Macaca fascicularis: one gene and its partners. The protein of the gene in region 7 interacts with the protein of the main gene of each other region in a biochemical or structural test. Links are inferred from orthologs where the notes say so. Each region holds a gene or a part of one and is shown on either strand. Other genes may lie near its edges. The genes, in order: SCN5A, GABARAPL1, RAPGEF2, NTRK1, MLANA, UBE2D1 and NEDD4.

Region 1 (3,500 bases), on a different chromosome or scaffold from region 7:
TGAATAGAGATTTCTCCAAGGAAGATATATAAATGACCAACACACACATGGAAAGATGTCCTGCATCGTTAGTCATCAGTCATTTGGTTTTGCAAATCAAAACCTCAAGGAGATATCACTTCACACCCACTAGGAGGGCTCCCATAAAAAGAATGCAGGCAATAACAAGTGTTGGTGAGGGCGAAATAATCGGAATCCTCATACATTGACAGTAAGAATGTAAAAAGGTGCAGCCAAATTGAAAAACAGTTTGGTGGTCCCTCAAAATTTTAGATAAGAGGCTTTCAGGGGCTGAGGGAGAGGGGAAATGAATGGGGAGTGACTATTAAATGGGTAGAGTTTCCTTTGGGGAAAGGAAAATATTCTAAAATTAGATAGTGGTGATGGTTGCAAAGCTCTGTGCATATACTAAAAAACACTGAAATGTATACTTTAAAGTGACTTTAAAGTTAACCATGAATTTTATGGCATGTGAATTATGTCTCAGGAAAGCTGTCATATAAAAAAAAAGATCTGAGCTCTGAGGTCAAACAGACATGGGTCAGGATTGGGTCTCTGCTTCTCCCTAGCTGTACAATCTCCCTCCTTTAGTGCTGAATTGACTGGGTGAATTGCATGAGGCAGGTATGTCTGAAAGAGTCTGGCATACACCTTGGCGGTTAGCTCCAGAATTTTCCATCTTCAGGGATAACTTCTACTCTGGAGGGCCACCTACTCCCCATCCTTGGGGACCCACCTCATCCTTAGTGAGCTTCCTTCTCCTTCAACCTAAGTGCGGGCAGAACTAGCCTCCACAGCACCCACTCCCATTCCCAGACTCATCCTTGAAGCTATCTAAGCAGTTAGAGAACTGTGTTCCCAGGTCCTCTGGAGGGTGGGGCCAGGAGGGAGTGCTGGGTCCTCTGCCAGGTTGGTCTCCTTGACCCAAGTGGACCCTTCCAGATAAGTTCTCTCTGGAGAGGTGTGTGTGTGCATGTATGTATGAGGGGAGGGGGGTGAGAAATGCACTGAAAAAAGAATGAAAGAACCTAGGGTTGTACGTGGCATTCAGCAGAGACTCAGGGGCCGGACGAGAGGCCTGGCTGGGGAGGGCTTCTGTCCAGCTGACTTGTATACCCACCCACGATGGAGAGGATGACAACCACGAAGTCGAAGATATTCCAGCTGTTGGTGAAGTAATAGTGGCGCAGGGCAGCCAGCTTGACAATACACTCGCCTGTGAAGATGGCCACAAAGAGCAGGTTGATCTTGGCCAAGATGTTGATTTTCTCAGGACTTTGGTCATCTGTCTCCACCATCATGGTCACCATATTCAAGCAGATCAGAAACATGATGGTGACATCAAAGGCCTGCTTGGTCACAATGTCGAATATGAAGCCCTGGTACTTGTTCTGAAAGGAGAGGCAAATGGAAAGCGCTCAGCAGGGCCCTTGGGAGGCTGGCAAATGCCCGTTTCTGCCTCTCATCCCAGGCCACCCACCCTCCCACTCTCCCTCTAGTGAGCCCAAAACCCCTGCCACACTGCCACAGAGAGTGCAGAGGAAAAACTCCTGGAGGTTAAAGCCATTGGCTCTCCTGCTGAAATGCTTCCTGGGCTTCAAGGCCCAGCTCCAAGGCTCCATCTTCCATGAGGACTTCCATGATGGATCTTCAGGGGGAGATTTTTCCTGCCCTGAGCATCCTTAGCATACTGTTCACTGTGCTTCCCTTTCAGTTGCCACAGTCTGAAGGCTCAAGGGTAAATTTCAACTTCAACCCTAGTAATTATGTCAGTGCTTAGATTAATATATTTTCTCTACTTTTTAATGTAATTTATTTATTGTACTAACCATATTTACATGTGTCTTTAATTGTAAATCAGCCCAGATTATTTGGGGAAATAAATAAGATTTTTTATATATATATATATACACATTTTTTTTTCTGTTCTCCCACTTAGAAAATATTATAAACAAACACACACACACACACACACACACACACACACACACACACACACACACACATTTTTTTGGATAATGGCTTGATTGGGCCAAGGGAGTCAGTCTTTGAGAGGACCCCACTCTCCAGAGCTCTTGGCTCTCCCCACCAGCTAACTCAGGAATCCGGCTCCCTGACTGTTCTGGGGGTCCAAGGATGAGGCTCTGAGTGGGGTGGGGTGGGGCTGTGAAGGCTGCCCTGCTTTTCCCGAGGAAAGCCTGCATCCTTGAGGGGAAGGAGGAGACCTGCTCAGAGACAGAGGGTTCCTGTGGGAGGAGAGTGTCCCGGGATGCTACATCCTTCTCATACCTTCCTCCCTATCTGTATGAGGCTGGGACCTCTCTTCATGCTCAGACATCTGATAGCGTCCCTCAGGCTGGGCTGAAAGACTGTGAGGTGGCCCTGATGGCTGGCCGTGTGGCATGAAAGCTTCCCAGGGACCCCAGAAGATCCTCCCCACTCCCACAGAACCAGGAGCTTAGCTCACCAAGGGCCGTGGGATGGGCTTCTGGGGCTTCTTGGAGCCCAGCTTCTTCATGGCATTGTAGTACTTCTTCTGCTCCTCTGTCATGAAGATGTCCTGGCCCCCTAAGTGCAGAGAGAAGGCACCAACCTCATTCTGGGGTTCTCAGAGGCCCCAGCATGGAGGGCACCAGGATCTTGCCTCCTTGATGAGGATGCCAGGGTCAACCACCTCCTGGCTTCCTCTCCTGGACAAAATATGTCCCTATTTTGCACCACAGATTCTTCCCCAAATCTATTTATCCAGGAGCCCTGTCCCCTTTCACCTTGAGATCTCTCTGGCTTTATGACCTGCAAATCCAGTATCCACCCCCCGCCCTTTCCCCCTCCTAGCTCAACCAGCCTTCATGTTCTCTCTGTTCACTTAGTTTGTCTACAACCCAGTTATAGCCGCTCTGATGAAGCTCTGGGAAGACCCAGGGCCTCTGCACAGGCTTTACCCATGACCTCTGATCATGGACCAGGTGAACAGATGCAGCTCTCACACCAGCTTCTCCCAGGAGTCTCATCTCTCAGGTGGATTAGGGCAGACATGGGGCCTCCCACCAAAGCCCCTTCTTATGTTCTTACAGGCCTAGACATGTTACATCCCTGGACACACCCTTCTCCCCACCTCATTCCAGCAGCAGCAAGAAGAGAACCATCCCCAGCAGGGAAGGTGAGATGGGGCCCGGAGCCCGAATGGCCCCTCAATCCCCTGGCACCCAGCCCTGCTCTGCCCAGCCCAGCGGGGAGCTGGTGCTCTACATATCTTTTTCTTCTGTTGGTTGAAGTTGTCAATGATGACACCGATAAAGAGGTTCAGGGTGAAGAAAGACCCGAAGATGATGAAAATGACAAAATAGATGTACATGTAGAGGTTGTATTCCCACTGGGGCTGCTCTTCATACTGTGAGGGAGAAATCACACAGGGAGATCAGACAGGCTGGGGTCTCGGGGGTCACATGGGGAGGGGTGGGGGGTGGAGGCAGAGGGCTGGCTAGGGGCATCCATTCTGT
Region 2 (3,500 bases), on a different chromosome or scaffold from region 7:
GGGAGGCGGAAGTGGGCAGATCACCTGAGGTCAGGAGTTTGAGACCAGACTGGCAAACATGGTGAAACCCTGTCTTCATTAAAAATACAGAAATTAGCTGGATGTGGTGACGGGCGCCTGTAATCTCAGCTACTTAGGAGGCTGAGGCTGGAGAATTGCTTGAACCTTGGAGGCAGAGATTGCAGTGAGCCGATATTGTGCCATTGCGCTCCAGCCTGGGTGACACGGTGACGCTCCGCCTCAAAAAAAAAAAAAAAAAAAAAATTCAGCTTTGTTAATTGTGATGTCAATTTGTTCCAAAAAGAAAACCAGTCTGGTTTCTTGAGAGGATTATGCTTTAGAGTTTCCTGATTACATCTTCTTAAGCTACATTTTTTTAAAAATAAGTTTTGTAGATTTTGTTTGGGATTATAAGACATATATTCAGTCTTCATCTTGAGCCTTAATGGAATACACACTGCATCCAGGAGACACTGGAAAGATTTTGTTGATTTGCTTCAGAGTTAATAGGTTTGAATATCAGCCATCTAGAAAGTTTTCAGTATTCTCAGGTAAAGGCAAAGCACTGAACCTTATTTAATGCCCCAACACTGAGTTGAGTGACTGTGCTAAGATGACCAGTGTCCAGTGGACCCCTTTCATTGCTAAGCTTTTCTTAGGGTGGGTCTGGGGATGGAAAGTGTTTCAAGTCGGGTTTAGACAATGATGGGAATGTTTTGGTCTGGATGCACGTGGTATTCCTTCAGTGTAGTCCTCAGGCTTTGAGTGGATATGCTAACATGAGGTCTGAGATTGAATAAGAGAGGAAAGGAGGAATAAAGTCCACTATGGCATATCAGGGACTGTACGGGCTTCTGAGTTTCCCTTTTTATTTTGAAAGCTCCAGGATAGTATTTGGCTCTTCTCAGGTGGTATATAAAACTGGTACTGACTCTAAGGGGAAAAAAATGCAACTGAATTTTTTTCCAGGACTTACCATTCTACTAATTCCTTGTTTTCTTCCTTTCTTGTCTGCCTTTTTCTTCCATCATCCAGTTGGCCAGTTCTACTTCTTAATCCGGAAGAGAATCCACCTGAGACCTGAGGACGCCTTATTCTTCTTTGTCAACAACACTATCCCTCCCACCAGTGCTACCATGGGCCAACTGTATGAGGTAATGGTTCTAGCCGAACAATACTGGATGCCGTCCAGGGCAGTCTGGCATCCTCTAGCTCTTGTTCTAGTATATGTTGATAACACAACTGAGAAGTGGGGCAGAAGGTGTTATTTATCCGGATCCTCTTACATATGGCAGTGTAAGGCTCTGAGAGATTAGATACCACTTGTTTTTCAGGGATTAGGCACTCTACTAGATTTAATCCTTTTGAAATCTCTTCTCAGTCTTGTCTGACTATAGTGTTTAATGTGGGATTGTTTATTGAAACAGCAGGAAGTGACTCCTGATAGCAAAAGTTCCAAAGCATCAGCCCATCGCAGTTCCTGCTCTTCTTGTTGGTAGCCTGTAATTTGTAATGCATTCAGAATCCAGTTCATTATTTTACTCCCATTTAGCAATAGATTGAGAAAGCACATAATAGTAAAGCCAGCTTCTAACTCTGAGGCCAGCCTCCGCTACAGTCAGCTTCCTCTGTGAACTCTGAAGTTTTGGCTTGAGACAAACACATTGATCTAAACAGGGGGAAACTTCTTCTTAGAACAAAACGAAAACTGTGAAACAGATTCCACATTATCTGGGCACAATGAATCAGATCAAATGAAATATAAAATTAAGGCAAAGTCTGTAAATGGATTCATTTGTCTTAACAGATAAACTGAGGAGGAATACTTTTTATGTGATTTTGTTTAATTGGAAGTGTCAGAATTTGGAGAAACTATAGTAAAGGACTTTATTATTACTAAAAATATAACCTAGGATTGTAACTATTATTTTTTGCAGTATTTTGCATAAGACGCTTCCTTCTCATTATGCCCTATTAATGGATTACATAAATTTATAATAATCCTGAATCTAACTTTTATTGCATAGCATATATTCCCTGTTAGTATCTGCCCCTTATATATCCCATCTGTGGTATCTATGTTCCCCTTGCTAGGACTGAGCTCTTTAAGAGTGAGTACTGTGCCCCAGTCATCTTCATATCCCTGATACCTATGTGTAATATGTTTTCAGTGAAGGATTTTTGTTTGTGAACTCAGAGCTCAAAGTGTAATTCCAACCACATCTCCTGATTCTTTGCTCCCCTTTTAAATGGGGATGAACGATACCTTCCATACCTGCTTTACAAGGTTGTGTGAGGCTTAGCATCTTACAGCTAATGAATGAATATGTTTTCTAAACTGTTGTCTTATCTCTTCCCCTAGGACAATCATGAGGAAGACTATTTTCTGTATGTGGCCTACAGTGATGAGAGTGTCTATGGGAAATGAGTGGTTGGAAGCCCAGCAGATGGGAGCACCTGGACTTGGGGGTAGGGGAGGGGTGTGCGTGCGACTTGGGGAAAGAGGGTGACTCCCACCGCGAGGAGACAGAAGGTGAAGACATCTAGAAACATTACACCGCACACACCGTCATCATATTTTCACATGCTCAATTGATATTTTTTGCTGCTTCCTCGGCCCAGGGAGAAAGCATGTCAGGACAGAGCTGTTGGATTGGCTTTGGTAGAGGAATACGGATGATGTAATTTCACAGCATTCCTGAGATTTAATTTTTGTGCAGTTTCATAGAAGGGTCAGGAGGTGGACAAGTTGGGGCCAGAGATGATGGTAGTCCAGCAGCAACTCCCTGTGCTCCCTTCTCTTTGGGCAGCGATTCTATTTTTGACATTTGCACAGGACAGGTAGGGAAAGGGGACTTGTGGTAGTGGACCATACCTGGGGACCAAAAGAGACCCACTGTAATTGATGCATTGTGGCCCCTGTTCTTTCCTGTCTCACACTTCTTTTCTCCCATCCCAGTTGCAGTCTCACTCAAACATCACAGTACCACCCCAGGGGTGGCAGTAGACCACAACCCAGAAATTTAGACAGCGATCTCTTACCTTTGGAAAATAGGGGTTAGACATAAAGGTGGTTATGATTAAGAAGATTGTTTTGTTATTAAATAGCATTAAACTGGAATTGACAAGACTATTGAGCATCTCTGTCTAACCTGTTCTTTCTCTCTGGTGCCCCTTATCTCACCCCTACCTTGGAATTTAAGTCTCAGGCATTTCCAGTTGTAGACTAAAACCACTCTTAGCATCTCCTCTAGTATTTTCCATGTATCAGGACAGAGATGTCTTATGTAGGGAGGGAGCAAGTGTGAAGTAAGGTAATTATATACACCTCTCATTCAGGATTCTTGCTCCCATGCTGCTGTCCCTTCAGGCTCACACGCACAGGAATGCTATGTGATGGCCAGCTGCTTCCCTCCTTGGTTATCATCCACTGCAGCTGCTAGTTAGAAAGGTTTGGAGGGATGACTTTTAGTAAATCATGGGGATTTTATTGATTTATT
Region 3 (3,500 bases), on a different chromosome or scaffold from region 7:
GAACATTGTAGTTAATTTTATTTAAATATATATATAATATCCTCTTTAGGGGAAGTAATCTTAATGTTGCAAATCTTAATGATTATAGCTGTGTATTCTTGCATGAGCTTTTATATGTAATTATTATTTTCTGGCATCTGTGAGAGAACTGCCTTAAATGCTCTATAGAGGTGAAAAGTAGAATTTCCTAGTTCGAACTGAACAGGTGCCAAACATATATTTTTATATGTATATTATGTATAATTTTCTTTTAACTAAATTTTTTTAATCTATATTATTCTATATTCCTGTGTAACAGTTTACTCACTGGAATGAAGCATGTGACCTTTTGAACATAGAATATTAATATCAGTCTTGGCACGTTTTAAATAGATAAAGTACTCCCATGCTAGAGTGAGCTGCATATCTACCTTTTCATCTTCCAGGTCTCTCAGCCAGGGTAGTACAAACGCAACAGTGCTAGATGTTGCTCAGACAGGTGGTCATAAAAAGCGGGTACGTCGTAGTTCCTTTCTCAATGCCAAAAAGCTTTATGAAGATGCCCAAATGGCTCGAAAAGTGAAGCAGTACCTTTCCAATTTGGAGCTAGAAATGGACGAGGAGAGTCTTCAGACATTATCTCTGCAGTGTGAGCCAGCAACCAACACATGTGAGTTTTTCCTTAAAGTGGCTGCCGACTTTGGCTAGAATGCAGATTTGTTTCCTGTACAGTGATATGGGCAGTGACAAAATAAGGCTTAGTGCAGAGGGGGAGCTGGCAATCATGAGATATACTAGTCCTTCCCTTGAATGCTAATATTGAATACTGGATAGCACTGTGCGCGGCCAGGCCCTCAGGTCAGCTGGGTTAGTGTGTGGAGGATGACACTGTCCACATCTAGGGCAACCCGTTGCTTTAGTTTCACCTGGACACAGCCAGTACACATGCAAGGGGCGCATATGTAGATATGGCTCCCAATTATGTGTCTTGTGTTCTCAGAAAGGTGCCCCCAAATTATGGGCACCCTGAGGGGAGTTGGGGCATGAAGTTGAGTGTGCTGGCTGCCTTTTAACCACTAGCCCAGACAACACCCAACAAGAAATTCACCTACCAGTTAGAGCAATAATTCTGCTCCACAATGAACTACAATAGCCATTAAAAATCGGGTTAGTCTATAAATGGGGCAGTTTTTTTTTTCTAAATCTGCATCTTGACAAAGGCATTTTCCATTCAATACACTCCTGTGTCTTTTATGTGCAGATTTGAAGATGTCTGCTATAGGATTTAGTTTAGATAGGTGATTTGAGAAGATTTGGATTATTAGATTTACCCAGGACACTGTAGAAGCACTGTGTCATGGTGAAGAGCTTGTCCTCTGGAGTCAGAGTGGTCTGAGTTCAAATCCTGTTTGCCTCCTCTTACTAGCAATGCAGCCTTAGGCAAGTTACTTGACCTCCCTAATCCTTAGCTTCCAGGTGTGTATAAGGGAGGAAGCATACATATGTCATTGAGTTTTGCATATTAAGATACTACATGCACAATATTTAATTGTCCTAAATTGCTTTGCCATTTATCTACCACAAAATATATACTCAGTATAATACTCAAGCATTTTTGGCTACTGTTTGCTTGCATAGATAATTCTACCTCCTAGGAATGTGGTAGTAAATAGATTGCAGTTGGCAGCATTTATTAAATAAAAACTTAGTGCATATACTTGTCAACCAATTTGGAACACCATTTTAGAAAAATAGTGTCTGATGACTTGTCTGTTGTAGTTTTTATCATGTATTTGTGTCTTTCATATACATGGATATAACATATTGAACTACCCACATTTTTCTATATTTGTAATGGGGTGTTTAATAGTATAATCATCTTTTGAGATTGCTGACTTCATAAAGTAGATACCTTTGTCCTGCCACATACCTAATATTTTCTGTAACTAGGGTCCCCCATATCCATTTCTGTGCTTCATAAAGGCAGCAGGACGAAAGGTGTGCCTTTTAGTATTCTAACTGCAGAAAATGCTCACACAGTTCTAAAATTATCTTCTACATAGCTACTAGCATCTAAAATTCTTTGTTCTATTTTCAAACCCAAACAATTACCAGTGCCTAAGAATCCTGGTGACAAAAAGCCTGTCAAATCCGAGACCTCTCCGGTAGCTCCAAGGGCAGGGTCACAGCAGAAAGCTCAGTCCCTGCCACAGCCCCAGCAGCAGCCACCACCAGCACATAAAATCAACCAGGGACTGCAGGTTCCCGCCGTGTCCCTTTATCCTTCACGGAAGAAAGTGCCCGTAAAGGATCTCCCACCTTTTGGTAAGTGATTACATTCGTTTCTTTTTTTGGTGCCATTCACTCTCATGGTTTGCAAATTAGGAAAAAAATATTTGTCTTGGATAACTTTGTCTAATATATTTGAGTTTCTGTGTTAATTATTAGCTCCTAATAAAACCTGAACATTGAGCAAGTTAAACCTGACTTTGCCAATGGAAGGGGTTGTTTTTATAAGTAATATCTCATTTAATCACGCTAATTTGCTACGACAGGGTGTTAATAGAGAGTTATGTGTCCATTTAATTTTTGCTGAGTGCAGAAGATGCTTTGTTCATTTACATTATTTAAACTGGTTTTGCCTTACAACCAACGAACTGCTGGGATTTAAGCAGAATATTTTTAAGTTAAATGAATTGTCTGAAGGTAAATTCTTATTTGTTGACTCACTGATTCTATAGCTTAGGGGGAAAAATAAAGCAACTAACTCCTGAGTATGGAGGAGTTAAATTACACTTTATCTTTCCTACGAAAAGAAAAACATCTAGTAGTTTAGCCCCTTTGTGGAAGTGGTACAACACAATAATTTTTCATAAAATGCACAGCTTGTTTTTTTCTACGTATATGTGAATGAAATAATTGATAAAAAATAAATTATTAAAAATAAAGGGACAGTAGGGTGGGCGCGGTAGCTCACGCCTGTAATCCCAGCACTTCAGGAGGCTGAGGCAGGTGGATCACTTGAGGCCAGGAGTTAGAGACCAACTTGCCCAACGTGGCAAAACCCCGTCTTTACGAAAAATACAAAACGTAGCTGGGCATGATGGTGCATGCCTGCAGTCCTAGCTACCTGGGAAGCTAAGGCACAAGAATTGCTTGAACCTGGGGGGTGGAAATTGTAGTGAGCCGAGATTGCATCATTGCACTCCAACCTGGGCGACAGAGCAAGACTCTGTCGATCGATCGATCAATAGATAGATAGAAGGGAAAGAGTTTACTTAGATAACATTGGGTGTTGATAGCTACGTCCCTGCACAGTTACAGCCCATCTGTATGGCTGGGGTGAGAGTCATTTATTTCATAGACCTCTCACATGTTCTCTGTCCTCACCTCACATCTGATCAGCAAATGTCCTCTTTATTGATATTGGGGGGGAGAGTAAGAAAAGAACACCTTTCCTTGATACGTTTCTCCTTTCAAATATTTGTGTTGATCCCCTCATCACAAACACATTGAATTAT
Region 4 (3,500 bases), on a different chromosome or scaffold from region 7:
AGGCATGCCTGATATAAAAGCAGAACAACAATGTGAGAATGGACTTATGTGTGTGCACGTGAGAGATGGATGTGAGCTTTGTTTCTGTGTGTCCATGTGTGAGCCTCTTCCTGAAGGCACATGTGCATGTGCATGGCGTCATCTGTGCAGATGCTTATGCCTCTGCGTGTGTGCATGTGCATACTGGGTGTGTGCATGTGTGCAAGAGGTATGTGAGAGTGTGCATATGTGTGAGTGTCTGGGGATCTATACATGTGTGCGCTTGTGTGTTCATGCACACACATGCATGTGCATATGTATGCATTCGTATGTGCATGCCATGTAAGTGTGTATGCAGGTCTGAACAGGTGCATATGCGTGTGCCTGTGATGTGCATGTGGCATGTGCCTGTGTCTTGTGAGGGAGCAGGAGGGTCGACATGGGAACTCAAGTGTGGGCCTGAGCCCTGTGACTCCCATCCCCTCTCCCCACAGCTACATCGAGAACCAGCAGCATCTGCAGCATCTGGAGCTCCGTGACCTGAGGGGCCTGGGGGAGCTGAGAAACCTGTGAGGAAAATGGGGACTGTGGGTGTGGAGCTCAGCGTGGGCCTGGGGGAGACCAGAAGGTCAGGGAGGGCTCAAGGGTCTGAGGCCCTGGGAGGACCTGAGAGGCTGAGGACTGAGGGACTGGGAGAGGTCAGGAAGCTCAGGGCTTTGAGGGGTCTAGGGTAGCTGAAGAAACAATGAGGGGCCCGAGGAGGGGTAGGAGTTCAGCACAGGGGACTGGGAGGCTGGGATGGGCAGGGAGGGCCAGGGGCCCAGAGTAGCTGAGACCTGGGGACTGATCCTCCTGCACCCCTCCCCAGCACCATCGTGAAGAGTGGTCTCCGTTTCGTGGCGCCAGATGCCTTCCATTTCACTCCTCGGCTCAGTCGCCTGTGAGTGTGGCCAGTGCTGGGCAGTGGGGATTGGGGAGGACACCCAGACTTGCACTGCTAATGGGCTTGGCTCTCCCCGGGGAATGATTGCGAGGGGCCCAAGCCTGGTCAGGGAAGTCACCTCACCCACTCTCCTGGGGCTTCCTCCCATCTCCCTCAGGGATGGCATGCTCTTGCCCCCGCCAGCTAGAGGTCCTCCTTGCCATCTCACTTCCATGGTCCATGCTGCAAGGATACTTCTCATAGGTGCCCGCCCCATCTTTCTTCCCAGGGCTCAGATACACACCAGTGCAAAGGGAGCAAGCGTCAGGAGCAGGACTCCTGTGTTCTGGCTGGGACTCCATTTCCCAGGGACGCATTGACTTGGCTCCTAGGACATCCTGGGAGCTGGGGTGTTAGGTCTGCCACTTGTCACCCTCCTCATTCTCGGGAGTCATAGCTATCCCTCCTGTAGAGCAGCGGACCCCAACTTTTTTGGCACCAGAGACTGGTTTCATGGAAGACAATTTTACCACAGATGGTGCGGGAGGGGAGGATGATTTCAGGATGAAACTGTTCCACCTCAGATTATGAGGCATTAGTTAGTTCTCAAAAGGAGCGCACAACCTAGATCCCTCGCATGCGCAGTAGTTCACAGAATCTAATGCTGCTGTTGATGTGACAGGAGGCGGAGCTCAGGCGGTAATGCTCACTCACTGCTGCTCACCTCACGCTATGCGGCCGGGTTCCTAACAGACCACATATTTACCCTGTTTATAGCCCCTCTTCCTTGCTGTCCCCCTCTTTTTCTTTAATTTATTTTTTAAGAGTCAGGGTCTCCCTCTGTTGCTCAGGCTGGAGAACAGTGGCACTATTTTCCCATCTGTGGCCTGAGAATTGAGGACCCCTGCTGTAGGACACAGAGGGTCATGGGATGGGCAGGAGGGACCATCAGAGTCCCTGGCAGCCCCTCCCTGGCCTTCCGAGGGTGGGAGTTCAGCTCCCCTGTCCCCCAACATGAGCAGGCGGAGAGATGGGAAGGATGGTGGGGCCGACATTCATGGAGTTATGCGGGGTCCTCTACACTCTGCTGTGTCCAGCAATTTAACAAGGCAAAATAAAGTGATGTCGTATCACCATCTATGCACCGGGGCTTCCGTTAAAAACGTGTTCAATGACACTTCACGGTACTTATGTCAATGAATCTTCACAATCAACCTGGTGAGAGAGAGAGTGTTCTTGTCCCCATTTCATAGATGAGAATTCTGAGAATCAGAGAGGTTGAGTTTCTGGACTGAGGTCACACAGCTGTAAGTGGCAGGATAGAACTTACACCCGCTCTATCTGGCTCTAGAGTGGGTTGTGTCTTTGGTCCCTATGTGGTGGTACCTCTCCAACCCAGCCACCACAAATTCTAGGTTGACTAGGAAAAGAGAGGGGTCAGGATAGGCCCCTCAGAGGCAGAGGGTCCCAGCAGCAGCAGCCTGACAAAGGGCACAGGGCACTGGGGCTCCTACATCATTTTCCGGTGTGGCCAGGCCCCCGCTGGGCTCACTTTTTCCACCCCTACAACGAGGGGGCTGGGGGTGTGGGTCCTTTCCTGCCTGACCTTTTAGTCACTGAGGAGGGCCTGAAAGGAGGAGGTGGAGGGGAACTGAGGAAGTGCGTTGAGTTCCTTGTGGTCAGGTAGGGTCAAGGGAGTGTGGCAACCTCAATCCTCCCCCTCTTCCTCTGGCCCCGTCCTGGGCTCTGTGGGGAGGGGAGCACAGATGGAGCCCTTCCCCCAGCTGTGGCCTCAGCACTTTGCCAGCTGGGGCCAAAGCAGTGGGGGAGGGAGGAGCGGCTGTTCCCTCAGATCCCCCTCCCTGGGGTCTGGAGAGGTGGCTAAGTAGGGTTAACCCTTGTTGTCCCAGGGAAAGGAGTGGGACTCAAAAAGCCCTCCACCACGCCCCCCCATCCATCCACACACACTGCCTTCCAAGGCTTGTTCTGGCTGCCTAGACTGGGGAGGGGGAGCCAGATGTCAACTTCTTTCTCGGCTCCTCCCCTCCCTCACTCTGGGTCAGAGTGAGGTCGGGTCACTCAAGGGGTCTGTCTTGCTGTGTCTCCATGCCCGTAGGAATCTCTCCTTCAATGCTCTGGAGTCTCTCTCCTGGAAAACTGTGCAGGGCCTCTCCTTACAGGAACTGTGAGTGGGGGCACTTCCAGGGACAAGAGCACCAAGTGTGTGTGTGCCTGCGTGCACTTGGGTCTGTGGGATGGCATTGGGTCACTGTGTCTGTGTGGCACTGCTGGGGGGGTCTCTTTGGGGACTATGTGCATGCCAGTGAAACCCCCATCAAAGCAGGGGCTGCAGGACCACCCGTTAAGGGGGCTACTGCCCTGGGGAGCTGGCCTGGATGACTGTGTGTGTGCTGGGCCTGGCTGAGCAGATCCCAGGCCCACTGTGTGTCCACGGCACATCTGGCAACATTCCCAGGGCACCTTGCACAGGGGTGAGTGGGGCGCAGGGGTTCATGTGTACCTGGTGGGCACTTAAGGCCTCTGGGTCACTCTGGGAGGCTGTGCCTTTCCCTCCTTGTCACCATGCTGAGAGCCCTTG
Region 5 (4,029 bases), on a different chromosome or scaffold from region 7:
TTAATAAAGATGTATTTGAGGCTGGGTGCGGTGGCTCATACCTCTAATCCCAGCACTTTGGGAGGCTGAGGCAGGTGGATCATGAGGTCAGGAGATCAAGACCATCCTGGCCAACATGGTGAAACCCCGTCTCTACTAAAAATACAAAAATTTGCCAGGCGTGGTGGCATACATCTGTGGTCCCAACTACTCAGGAGGCTGAGGCAGGAGAATTGCTTGAACCTGGGAAGCGGAGGTTGCAGTTAGCTGAGACCCCACCACTGCACTCCAGCCTGGGCGACAAAGCGAGACTCAATCTCAATAAATAAATAAATAAATAAATAAATAAATAAATAAATGAATAAATGTGTTTGAGCCTAGTTATAATGATTTAAAATTCATGATCCGAAACCACAATTACTTTTGCACCAACCTAAGAGATGTCTAAGTAGGTCATATTCCACCTGCAAAGAGAAAATTCCATCTATCCCTTGCAGATGCATGGAAACTCACTGTCTCCAGTGGACAGTTAACTCCAAGGGCATCACAGAGAACTCATGGAGCTCAGCTGAGGAGGTTTCAGGGATTTTTCTATTTCCTTTTCTTCATCATGAGAGTCTGGTACTAGATGCTCTCCAGACCTGAGCCTAAAGACTCTTCAATCCTTTGAGATGAAGATGAGGGAGGGAATAGGAAACCCAGTTTAGTTTGGATTTCAGATCCTTTTGTGGTTCATACGTGTGATGATTAGGTTTCCATGTTCATGTGTGAGATCTGCCTCCCTCAAACCGTGTTACAATGACATGGGCGCCTTACCTAGCTGACATGAAAAAAGCAAATGTGGATTTCAGACAAACAAAAAATAACTTTTTTAGTTTATGTCCCATAGAATATGTGGACATATTTATCCTAAAAATATTGTATGGGACATAGTTGTATTAAGAAACTGTTCATTGTTTATCTGAAGTTCAAATTTAACTGGGTATCCTTTATTTTATGTGATGTGGCAGTCTTATGGAGGAGGGGCCAACATTTAAAATAAATGGCTTCCCTAGGATAGAGCACTGGGACTGGGGAAAACAGAGGCCGCAGTCAGCTGTGACTTTTTGAAGGAAGGAATGAAGTTGGTTTCTTTCATGCCAATTAAGCAATTACAGACGACCCTCTCAGAAATCTAAACCTGTGACTATCATGGGACTCAAGACCAGGAAAAAAAATAAGTCAAAAAGATTAAGAGCCAGAGAAGCAGTCTTCACACATGCGGCCAGCCAGCGGACGGAGTACTCTCTCATTCAGGAAGGTAAGAGCATTGCCCTCTTGCTATAATCATAGTCCTTTTCTCCTTTTCTCCCAGAATAGGATTTGGGAAATTCTGGTGAAGTCCTCTGCCTACCCTCATTGCCCCACTGATGTGTGACGTCAACAGAATTTCTCTGCAACGTTTGTCAGTCTCCAACTTCAGAGGGCTCACAAAGTCTCCTCCTGAATCCTCTCTCAGTCCTCTAAGACTACCAAGAAGAAAAGCAATTATTCAGGATGGCAGCTTGCCGGGGAGAAGCAGCCTCCCTGAGGTAGATGTGTTCTCCTGTCACTTAAAGAACCACTTCTTCTGGTCTGAGTAGTAAGAGGCGCGTTTGCTGTTGCTAAACCATTTGCCAAGGTTCTGAGCTTGAGGTATGGGATGTATGAAAACAATTTAATGAAGAATTAAGTTTCCATTCTGTCATTTTGAACACAGGGTTCACTCCTATATTATTTACTTGAGAGGATCAGTGAGTTTGACTTTAATTTCTTTTTTTACAACTGGGAAGGGTAAATTACACATAAAATGTCCCAGTGGAAAGGGGTCATGTGGTGAAATCCCCACTCTTCTCTCCCACCCCTCCCTGCTGTTTTAAACTGGAGCTCATTAATATAATTCTATGGGGATCAGACCTTTGAAATTCCTGAGAACAGTAAGAGAGCAGAAAAATACACAATAACAAGGAAAGGAGCTTCCATTATTGGTTTTTAATGAGCATACTTGAATTACGGCCACTGCAGTTTATGGACAGTTTTTGTTGTTGTTCATTTGTATATGTTCTAGTTAAAAAAAAAAAAATGCTAGCCAAGGGACTTGAATCAGAGAGAAGCAGAAATTGACTTAAGTAGAAAGGGAAACACATTGTTAGATAAAGTCAGGTCCTGGGCTTCCTCAGCTTGTTTTGGGTGGAGTGCCTGGTGACAAGCTGAAGCCCCTGTGTGGGGTGGTTTCCTTTGCTGAAAAGCTGGGCTGGAAGATGCTGTGCTCAGCGTTCAACCTCATGCACCCTCGCAAGGCACAGGCAACAGGTGCTCTGGGAAACATACATTATGTATCATAGCCTCTGTCTGTCTGTGGACTGATATCCAATAATAACTTTGGAGAAAAATAACTCCTCTTATTTTATTAGCCACAGCCCTGGGCCAGGGAAGGTGGAGAATCAGTAAAAATGCATTGTTTGTTTGTTTCTCTAGAAGTTTATGGTGCAGAGTCAAATTGAAGGCACATGAAGAACATTTTTTTCACCAAATAATAACTGAGTCTTTTTGCTTTCATTTGTAGTTTCTTCTTTGAACTTTAGTTAGTAGGAGGGGTTAGAAACCTGAGCTATTGTCAAAGCCCTTGATATCAATGAAAGAAGCAGGTGCAAATCTCCTCACAGAGAGAAACCAAAGGGTCCTGACTGTGGATATTGGTCATCTAGTAAGGATGCTGTTGTGGGTCTTTATGAGACGATGAACAGGGTGGCTTTGGATGCATTAATGATGCCCACATGCTTCTTCTGTTAGGTGTCCTGTGCCCTGACCCTACAAGATGCCAAGAGAAGATGCTCACTTCATCTATGGTTACCCCAAGAAGGGGCACGGCCACTCTTACATCACAGCTGAAGAGTAAGTTCAAAACCAGACCCAGCAGGGCTTCCAGTTTGCCATTTGCTGACACAGCCTGCTGACTTCCACCAGCACATGCCTGCTCATAAATCTCCCTAGTGTTTATCTCCCCAGACAGTAACATCCCTGGCAACAAGGGGAGGAGATTCTGTGCTTCTACAAGGGGCTCAGTCAAGCTTCTCTGAGGCCAAATAGGCAGGAAGATGGGAATGGTATAAGGTTGGATCTTGCCATTTTTGGGTGCACTTTGACTATTGGGCCTTATCTGTAGGTTCCCAAGTGGAAAAACATCTGTTCAGAGTCACAATGCCTCTTTCCTCAATCCTTGTTCTGTCTCCTCCACTCAAGCTCCTGAAGGTGGTTTGCAGACAGAATAAAAGTGAGTTGCCAAGGAGCCAGTGAGGATGATGGGCAGGTGCATGTGACTCAGCCCACAGCCAGACTCGAGAGGAAGACTGAAGTCACAGCCTTTGCAGCATAACTTTATCCTAAGGAAAGGTGTTGGATATTATGAGTGAATTAAAAATAACTATTTATATGATTAAGCATTTCTAAATGCTAAGCATTGTATACTGGCCTGAGATACTGTTTTTATCTTTGAAAAAACTCACAACCTAGTGGGAGAGTTAGGCATGAAATTAATTTCAGCAAATATAAGTGTGGTGATGAAAACCCAGAGGCTGCAGGGACATACTCTGTACGTGCTGGGAGTGGGAAAGGGACATACTCTGTACATGCTGGGAGTGGGAAAGGGACATACTCTGTACGTGCTGGGAGTGGGAAAGGGGCATACTCTGTACGTGCTGGGCGGCGGGGGCAGGGGAGGCCCCACCCTCTGTGTGGGACTCCAACAGGACAATACCCTCTTATGTGGTCTGTCCAGAACTCCCTGCGAACCTGCTCTTTCTTTGGAAAGAGCTGTTGAACCATCTTTAACAGTCAACCGCAGGGACCAGCAAGATGTAAGACCCAACAAAGGTACTGAGGAAGAATTCGGCATTTCCTCAGAAGACCCTGGTATAGGATCCTCTAATATCCCTGGCCAGTTGGAGTTGAGGGCAGCGGTATCTTCTCAGAAAATGTCCTGAGAGCAAAAATATACTCTTTAAGGGAGGGGAGCCCATTGGCCATGGTATT
Region 6 (4,017 bases), on a different chromosome or scaffold from region 7:
TTGGTGGAATAATTTGTTTTCAGTTGCATATATAACCAGTAATGGGATTGCTGGGTCAAATGGTAGTTTTGTTGTAAGTTCTTTGAGAAATCTCCAAACTGTTTTCCACGATGGCTGAACTAATTTACATTCCCACTAACAGCATATAAATGTTACCTTTTCTCCTCAGCATCACCAACATCTGTTGATGTTTTCACTTTTTTTTTTTTCCTTTTTGAGACAGAGTCTTACTCTGTCGCCCAGGCTGGAGAGCAGTGACTCCATCTCAGCTCACTGCAACCTCCGCCTCCCGGGATTAAGCGGTTCTCCTGCCTCAGTCTCCTGAGTAGCTGGGATTACAGGCGCCCACCACCATGCCCAGGTAATTTTTGTATTTTTAGTAGAGATGGGATTTCACCATGTTGGCCAGTCTGGTCTCGAACTCCCAACCTCAGGTAATCTGCCCGCCTCAGCCTCCCAAAGCCCTAGGATTACAGGCGTGAGCCACTGTGCCCGGCCAAGAAGCCAAGTTTTAATGGGTACACAAGTGCCCAGGAATTGGAGAGTGGGGAGTGTGCGTTGACTATTAGTCAGAGACTGTCAATGGAAGGGAAGGAGTCAACGATGGGAGTGAGAGCTCTGAACTCGGTGTTCGAAGCGGGTAATTTATGGGAGGGGCATACCTATGAGCAGACAATGCACTCAGACACGGAAGATCTGTGCATTGGACAGAAGAGACACCTTTTTCCTCTGCAGTAAGAACCAAGGAGGTAAGTAAGGGGTCTGATAGATATGAGTTTGTGCATGTGTGCTGGGTGAGTAATTGAGATAATTCATATATTTGAGAAAAGACAGTGAAATATTTAAAGGTAAATATAATAAAACCAGCTGTGGCACCTATTGGATAAGGAATTACTAACTGATGATTTAGAAATTCCTTTATGTGCGTTAGGAGCTCATTTGTTATCCCCATTTTACAGATGCGCAGCCCCAGGTTCAGTAACTTGCTCTAAATGAGACTGTAGAGACTAACTCCAGCACCCGGCAGCTCTCACCTTAAGCTGCCTGGCTAAGGTCAGCAGCAAGTAACCTGGCAGCGTCTGGGGGCCTGCGGCCGAGGACAGGGCTGGAACTACACTTCCCAGTATGCCAGGCGGGGCGGGGCGCGGCGGGGAGGGCGCAGGCTCCTTCCCAGAAGCAAAAGCGGAAACAAAAGAGTCTCGCCGGCCTCCCCGCCCGCACACTCGCGCACACTCGCGCTCGGGCGCAGACGGAGCAGGGACCGGCGCCCGGAGCGAGCCAGGGAGCGGCGAACCGGGGACCCACCGCGCGGAGCCAGCTGAGCTGCCAGCGAGCCCAACTCGCGAAGACTCACGCCCCCGAGCCCCGCAGCCGACCCCTGCCGGCCGGTGTCCCCACCGCGATCCCTGATCCATGGCGCTGAAGCGGATTCAGAAAGTGAGTGCCGGGGCCGGGCCTGGGGCTGCGGGGCAGCAGGGCAGCGGCGCCTGCCCACGCTGACTCGGCCAGTGGTCCCGAGAGATATGCAGGGAGAGCACGGGATGGAAGGGTGGGCCGGGGTGCGGGCAGGGAGCTGGAGGCTCGGGCCCGGCCAGCGGGCACCGGACAGGTTAGGTGGGAGCGGGGGCAGATCCCAGGCGGCCGGGGGAGCTTGAAGGCTGGGGGCCCGTGGCGCGCTCGCGCCGGGGCCGCTCCCGGAGCCCCAGGGTAGAGAGCCTCCTCCGCGTCCAGACCGCCCCGAAATCTGTGCTTCACGGTCACGGCTGGGTTTTGCCCTCCATGAGGCTAGTTTTGACCCCTGTCATGCTGTGTTTTCTCCAGGCTGTTTCTTAAGCCTGTCTCTTTTATGTTCTTGCTTACCCGGGCTCCCCGGGAGGGCACGGAAGGTGGGGTGGGCCTGCAGCCTTTCTCCGCGGAGCTGTCGGGTTGGTTCTTTCTCCTCTGCGGTTGGCTCTTGCTCAGTTGCCCGAATGGGCTGGAAAGCCCATTTGCGGCCAAGAAGCCAAGAGAAGGCTCCTGCCCCTTCTATTTTGGTGCCTCTGCTGCTGCCACTTCAGGTCACATAGCTGTAGCGAAAACATAGTTGCTGATACACAACAAGATGACCTCCTGGCTGTGATTCACGGTGAGTCAAGCCAAACAGGTTTTTTTTGCCCCTCATGGTAAACTTAGATGTAAAGTTCGAGACACAACATAAACTGTCGCAAATAGATTGTTTTGATGCTTTGACACATGGGTATAAAATGAGGAAGAAATATGTATCTTCATCCAACAACTGTTCACCCATCTCAACCCTGTGTGTGGAATTGTCTTTTTTTCACAGTATTTATTGCCACCATTTCAGAAGCGAACATCCTTCAGAATTGATATTCGGGCATTTCTTTCTGTTCATTTTTATTTCTTGTTGGTCTGTGTACTGACCCAAGTTTTAGGTTTTACAGTTACAGTTCACACTGGGAACATTGAGAATGTGTTTGTTAAATAGGGAGTGCTTTTCACTAAGTTAAGCAACAATGGTCAGTGTATTTTGTAGTTGTTTCAGAAGAAATTAATGCCCACATTTTTATCTACTTTTTTGACCAGTAGTCCATTATAGCAATAGTAAATGTTAGAGAGTGATAGTGACGTACACATTGTATTCTGACTAGCCACTAGTGGCATCTTTAGGTACAGAGGACAGCAACTTTTAGAGCCTGCCAGTTTTTTATTTTCAAATTCTAAATCTGTTGATCACCTGTTATTTTTTGTCCCATTTAAAGGTCGTCTCATTGTAAAACATACAGTTAACAATCAGCATCAGCATTTATTAAGTTATAATGTTTTCTTGTTTGAAGATAGTTCAGTTACACGTTGTTTTATATAAATATCCTAATTTTGAAGCCTCAGTCGGCCTCTTTACCATAACTTGCATACTTATTAATGACGACGTAATATTGGTTCACATTTGGATCAGAAAATGCACATCTTCCAAGGAAGTTTTCAAATTCTATTTCCTTCTTTCCTAGTTGTGAGAATTTTTCACATGATTTTGCACATACAAGAGCTTTTTAAATTATCACTGTGTTTTTTTAAGAGATGGGGATCTCAGTATGTTGCCCATGCTGGTCTTGAACTCCTGTCCTCCAGAGAGTCTGGGATTACAGGCACAAGTCACCATACCCAACTATAACAATAGCGTTTAAATGCTGTGCAATTTGTCCACAGTAAGTGGATATTCAAAGAAATATGAACATTGTTTGTAAATACCATACTTGGCAGTTCTCGTCAATCACCATGCTGAACTGGTGTATTTGATTTGTATTTATAATGTGTGTGTCCAAATCTTTTCTTTTTAGTATTTATTGGTTATTAGTTTATAGAGTTGTTCAGAAAAAAAAAATTACTTACATGGAATTGATATCAAACATGTGACAAATCGATATTTTGGAGAAGAAATTGGGATCATATACCATCACATCTCTGTGCGTTCATCTTTGGCTTCCCTTTCTGATATCAGGCAAGTTAACTTACACAAGTCTTTCCATTAATCACACATTCAGACCGTTTCCTCAAACCTTAGGGGTGATTATTTTGATTGATTCCCTATTTTTCCTCCTCCTTTATCTACCTCCTTGATTAGAAGCCAATTCTAGGTCAGTTGTGCCGCCTGCCATATGAACAGTTATACCATCTTCTTCTTTGATGTCATCAGTATAGACATTCTTATTTGAATCTTTCATGTTCCAACAAATGAAGATGTATACTAACTTTTGGCCTTTCTTCCTAAGCTCCTATTGAAGTGTTACTATAGTTTTCCTGTACCTAAAGTTGCAGACTGTAGAGCTGTGTGGAACCTCAGATAAGTCTGCCGTAGTGTACTAGAGGGTACCAGCACGGGAACAGCTTCTAGGGTAGTGTCTTAGAATCACCTGAGGGACGTTTTCAGACTGTCGTCACTTCTATAAATGGAGAGGTGTTGAATCCCTCAGATGGGTTGGGGTGGAAAGAAGACTGAGAACCACTGATGTTCTGGCCTGT
Region 7 (3,500 bases):
TCATGTCTTTACCCTTTCTTTTATATGTTTATTCCTTTACCTACCTTTGTTGCATTCTGGGTAATTTCCATACAAATTAATTAATTTCTCTCTTAATTCTCTTAGTCACCAATATGATATGTCATGTTGCTTAGGAACATGGGATCTGGAGCTAGACCACTTAGCTTTTCTACTTAATAACCATGGGACTTGATCACATTACCTATTCTCTGTGCCTCAGTTTCCTCATCTGTGAAATGTAATAGTAGTCCCTTCCTTACAGAGTTATTGTAGACATTAAATGAATAACATATGTAAACTTCTAAGAAGAATGCCTGGTATGCAGTGAGAGATCAACAAATATAATTGCTTTTATCTTTTTTTTTTTTTTGTATTTTGTGGCCTGTAATGGCATTGCCTCCCATCTCCTGCCGCCTGGAAGACATTAACAATTAGATACTACAACATGTTTCAACCACTTAGAGTGGCAAATGGAGAAGCTAGTGCTTCTATTCCTCCAGCATATTCTCATTAAGAATGAAAATATTTACCAGAACAATGAATCAGCAAATATTTAAAATCCCAAAGTCTAGAAGTAGAAAACAAATTTCCAGGGAAATTTTGACACAATGTTATCTTTTCTTTTTTCTTTTTCTTTGAGACAGGGTCTCACTCTGTTGCCCAGGCTGGAGTGCAGTGAAGTGATCTGAGCTCACTGCAACCTCTGCCTACCTGGTTCAAGCGGTTCTCCTGCCTCAGCCTCCCGAGTAGCCAGGATTACAGGCGGGTAACATCACACCCAGCTAATTTTTGTATTTTTAGTAGAGACGGGGGTCTGACCGTGTTGGCCAGGCTGGTCTGGAACTCCTGACCTCAAGTGATCCACCCGCCTCAACCTCCCGAAGCGCTGGGATTACAGGTGTGAGCCACTGCGCCTGGCCCACAAAATTATCTTTAAAAATGAGTTTAGAAAGTTGATGATATTTAAGGATTTTATTAGGGCATAAAATGTTTACACTAAAAAAACTATCATGTTTTATTTTTGTTAAAAATCTGGGTGAAAATCGGAGGTAGCCGACCCACCATCTTGAATCTTTGTGAAAGCCAGCTTCTGGCTTAGAATGCAAGAAAGTATAACCCAATATGGCCACCTAGTGGTAGTATTCCTAAACTGCAGGCAGAGGAGGACAGGATGAGCAAGTAAGAGGCACTAAAACTAGCAGACACCAACAGAAATGAAATAGATGGCCAGATGATGAGTTTAGTTCCAAACATATTGCATTTGTGGTGATGGGAAAAAGTGTACTGAACATAACTGATAAGCATACGGAGACAAGTCACAAGAGCACAGTTCCACTCATGATTGTATTTTTAAATTATGCAGAGACATTACATTTGAAGGTGTAGAGAATGAATGACTACCGCTAGAAAACAACAAAGTCATAAAACAAATCCAGACTCCTCCAACAGAGTCAAAGACTATGCCAGAAGATAATTTCCTGAGCCACTCTTGCTCAGGTTCTACAAAGATCAAGCCCCATAAACCCCACAAGGATACATCAGGTTAGAGCTCTGGAAAGCAAACTTTAAATGCCATTTTTCTATATTATAAAATATCTTACAAAATAAAGACATAAAATAATCAGTGGTCTGTAGTGATATATCACAGCTACACAAAAAATAACCATCCTTTCTCTATGAAAAACTGTTCACTCAAAGTTGTTACAAATATAGAACAAATTATTACTTTAAACAAAATTTCCCATTACTTTCCATCTATATATTGATGACTCAAGTATTTATCACAAACATCACTAACCTGCTTCTTCAACTTTCTTCGGAAGAACTCATACTTTCTTTTGTAATCCCTGGAGTAGGGCACTGCCTTTAGTGGGAAATTTTGGAAAAATAAAGAAGTTTAGGTTGTTTTTATTCTGGAACAATTTTTAAAGTTCCCGGCAGGGTATTTTATGAACATAAGTTAAGGGCATGAAAAGAAAAATATTTGGAAAGAAAAGTTTAATTAGAAGAAAAACAAATACAAAACTTTAAAATATTTAATTTCTCTGTTTAAGACAAAATTATATTCAGCAATTCCTATGGCTGTAATTTTCATTATGCAATATTCTCAAAATGCAGCATGCCAGAAATAGGAAATTTCTTCCAGGTAGAGAAATACTAGAAACAAAAATTTCCATTTCTAAAGAGACTTTCAAAGTGATTTCTCCATTAAACAGGCAATGTGAAAAGCGTACTTTTTCCTTGAACTCCAAGGAATTGCCTTTTTGAGCCATTAAAGGACTACATGTTGAGATAGTAAATAGTAATTAAAAAAAAGGTATCTTCAGTTTTATTTTTATGAATTACAAAACAAAATCTGAATAAAATGGAAGAAGCAGCTATAAAAAAGGATAATAATTTTCCTATCTGACTACAGTTATCATATATGGTATATTTGTACTTAAGTGTGGATGTGTCTTACATACTGGGCATTTACAATGATTTCTTTTTCTTTTTTTTGAGATGGAGTCTCGCTCTGTCACCCAGGCTAGAATGTGGTGGTGCAATCTCTCAGTTCACCGCAACCTCCGCCTCCTGGGTTCAGGTGATTCTCCTGCCTTGGCCTCCCAAGTAGCTGGGACTACAGGTGTCTGCTACCATGCCTAACTAATATTTTTTGCATTTTTAGTAGAGACAGGGTTTCACCATATTGGCCAGGCCAGTCTTGAACTCCTGACCTCAGGTGATCCACCTGCCTTGGCCTCCCCCAAAGTGCTGGGATTACAGGTGTGAGCCTGGCCTGATTTCTATAAAAAAATTTAAGAATGACCCTGGAGTGGATAGGGTGCTGCTGCTTCCTCATCTGGATACACTCTCTGCTCCTCTCTGATTTGTGGAGGACTGTCAACATTCTTGTTCAGACAGTGGCAGGCACCCACCTGAGCTCAGCAGCCCACACTGCCTTAGCATTCCGACTGTCTGGCTCACCTGTCTCCCACTGCTATTGCATAGGGTAAAGATAATGACGTCATAGAATCTTTTCAAATAACTGAGACTTGGAGTATGGGAAATGGGGGAGAGGAGACAGAATGGCCAATGTGCTTTCCTCTCAATGCCTGTAGGGTTATGCCCTTGAGTATCTGCTTTTGAAGAGACAGGTGAGGGGACAGTCCCATCAGAGCACATCAGCACAGAGAGACTTACTGGTCCAGTTATTGCTACATTCTGCAACCGAGGATCTTCCCATTGTGTTCTTTTTATATCTGAAGGGAAGAAAAAGAAAAATGGTGTACTTTCTCACAGATAAAATTTATTACAAAAAATAACATAACGAAAAATCGCATTGCACATACTGTGATTTATGTAGAAGATTCTTCCATCTGTGTGAGTTCTCTCTTCCCATCCTGGCTATAATGAAGAATGTATTTCAATTATGTTAGGATAGGGTTTTAGATGAATGGATAGAAAAACAGCACTGGTTGTATGGTTAACTTGCATATTCCATTCGATTCTTAGAAGGT

Evidence for each region.
Region 1: the proteins of NEDD4 (region 7) and SCN5A form a complex in vitro, tested with the Homo sapiens proteins (3 studies listed by BioGRID, with this or other methods). The link is inferred for Macaca fascicularis from reciprocal best matches to the Homo sapiens genes NEDD4 and SCN5A.
Region 2: the proteins of NEDD4 (region 7) and GABARAPL1 form a complex in vitro, tested with the Homo sapiens proteins (2 studies listed by BioGRID and IntAct). The link is inferred for Macaca fascicularis from reciprocal best matches to the Homo sapiens genes NEDD4 and GABARAPL1.
Region 3: the proteins of NEDD4 (region 7) and RAPGEF2 form a complex in vitro, tested with the Homo sapiens proteins (2 studies listed by BioGRID and IntAct). The link is inferred for Macaca fascicularis from reciprocal best matches to the Homo sapiens genes NEDD4 and RAPGEF2.
Region 4: of the proteins of NEDD4 (region 7) and NTRK1, one has a biochemical effect on the other in vitro, tested with the Homo sapiens proteins (3 studies listed by BioGRID, with this or other methods). The link is inferred for Macaca fascicularis from reciprocal best matches to the Homo sapiens genes NEDD4 and NTRK1.
Region 5: the proteins of NEDD4 (region 7) and MLANA form a complex in vitro, tested with the Homo sapiens proteins (2 studies listed by BioGRID and IntAct, with this or other methods). The link is inferred for Macaca fascicularis from reciprocal best matches to the Homo sapiens genes NEDD4 and MLANA.
Region 6: the proteins of NEDD4 (region 7) and UBE2D1 form a complex in vitro, tested with the Homo sapiens proteins (14 studies listed by BioGRID). The link is inferred for Macaca fascicularis from reciprocal best matches to the Homo sapiens genes NEDD4 and UBE2D1.

Annotation. Positions count from the first base shown.
Region 1 is NC_088376.1:100,616,734-100,620,233, forward strand, and holds part of SCN5A (sodium channel protein type 5 subunit alpha), read right to left. Parts: intron 3,392-3,500; coding exon 3,250-3,391; intron 2,573-3,249; coding exon of another isoform or gene 2,569-2,572; coding exon 2,468-2,568; intron 1,392-2,467; coding exon 1,121-1,391; intron 1-1,120. UniProt on the Homo sapiens protein: Pore-forming subunit of Nav1.5, a voltage-gated sodium (Nav) channel that directly mediates the depolarizing phase of action potentials in excitable membranes.
Region 2 is NC_088385.1:10,685,472-10,688,971, reverse strand, and holds part of GABARAPL1 (gamma-aminobutyric acid receptor-associated protein-like 1), read left to right. Parts: intron 1-1,035; coding exon 1,036-1,154; intron 1,155-2,362; coding exon 2,363-2,428; 3' UTR 2,429-3,500. UniProt on the Homo sapiens protein: Ubiquitin-like modifier that increases cell-surface expression of kappa-type opioid receptor through facilitating anterograde intracellular trafficking of the receptor. Involved in formation of autophagosomal vacuoles.
Region 3 is NC_088379.1:164,243,166-164,246,665, forward strand, and holds part of RAPGEF2 (rap guanine nucleotide exchange factor 2), read left to right. Parts: intron 1-425; coding exon 426-649; intron 650-2,094; coding exon 2,095-2,304; intron 2,305-3,500. UniProt on the Homo sapiens protein: Functions as a guanine nucleotide exchange factor (GEF), which activates Rap and Ras family of small GTPases by exchanging bound GDP for free GTP in a cAMP-dependent manner.
Region 4 is NC_088375.1:104,208,924-104,212,423, reverse strand, and holds part of NTRK1 (high affinity nerve growth factor receptor), read left to right. Parts: intron 1-473; coding exon 474-548; intron 549-847; coding exon 848-919; intron 920-3,017; coding exon 3,018-3,086; intron 3,087-3,500. UniProt on the Homo sapiens protein: Receptor tyrosine kinase involved in the development and the maturation of the central and peripheral nervous systems through regulation of proliferation, differentiation and survival of sympathetic and nervous neurons.
Region 5 is NC_088389.1:93,149,924-93,153,952, reverse strand, and holds the start of MLANA (melanoma antigen recognized by T-cells 1), read left to right. Parts: upstream 1-1,229; 5' UTR 1,230-1,279; intron 1,280-2,790; 5' UTR 2,791-2,815; coding exon 2,816-2,892; intron 2,893-3,240; exon of another isoform or gene 3,241-4,029. UniProt on the Homo sapiens protein: Involved in melanosome biogenesis by ensuring the stability of GPR143. Plays a vital role in the expression, stability, trafficking, and processing of melanocyte protein PMEL, which is critical to the formation of stage II melanosomes.
Region 6 is NC_088383.1:88,326,482-88,330,498, reverse strand, and holds the start of UBE2D1 (ubiquitin-conjugating enzyme E2 D1), read left to right. Parts: upstream 1-1,217; 5' UTR 1,218-1,413; coding exon 1,414-1,437; intron 1,438-4,017.
Region 7 is NC_088381.1:32,300,887-32,304,386, forward strand, and holds part of NEDD4 (E3 ubiquitin-protein ligase NEDD4), read right to left. Parts: intron 3,388-3,500; coding exon 3,333-3,387; intron 3,243-3,332; coding exon 3,184-3,242; intron 1,865-3,183; coding exon 1,799-1,864; intron 1-1,798. UniProt on the Homo sapiens protein: E3 ubiquitin-protein ligase which accepts ubiquitin from an E2 ubiquitin-conjugating enzyme in the form of a thioester and then directly transfers the ubiquitin to targeted substrates. Specifically ubiquitinates 'Lys-63' in target proteins.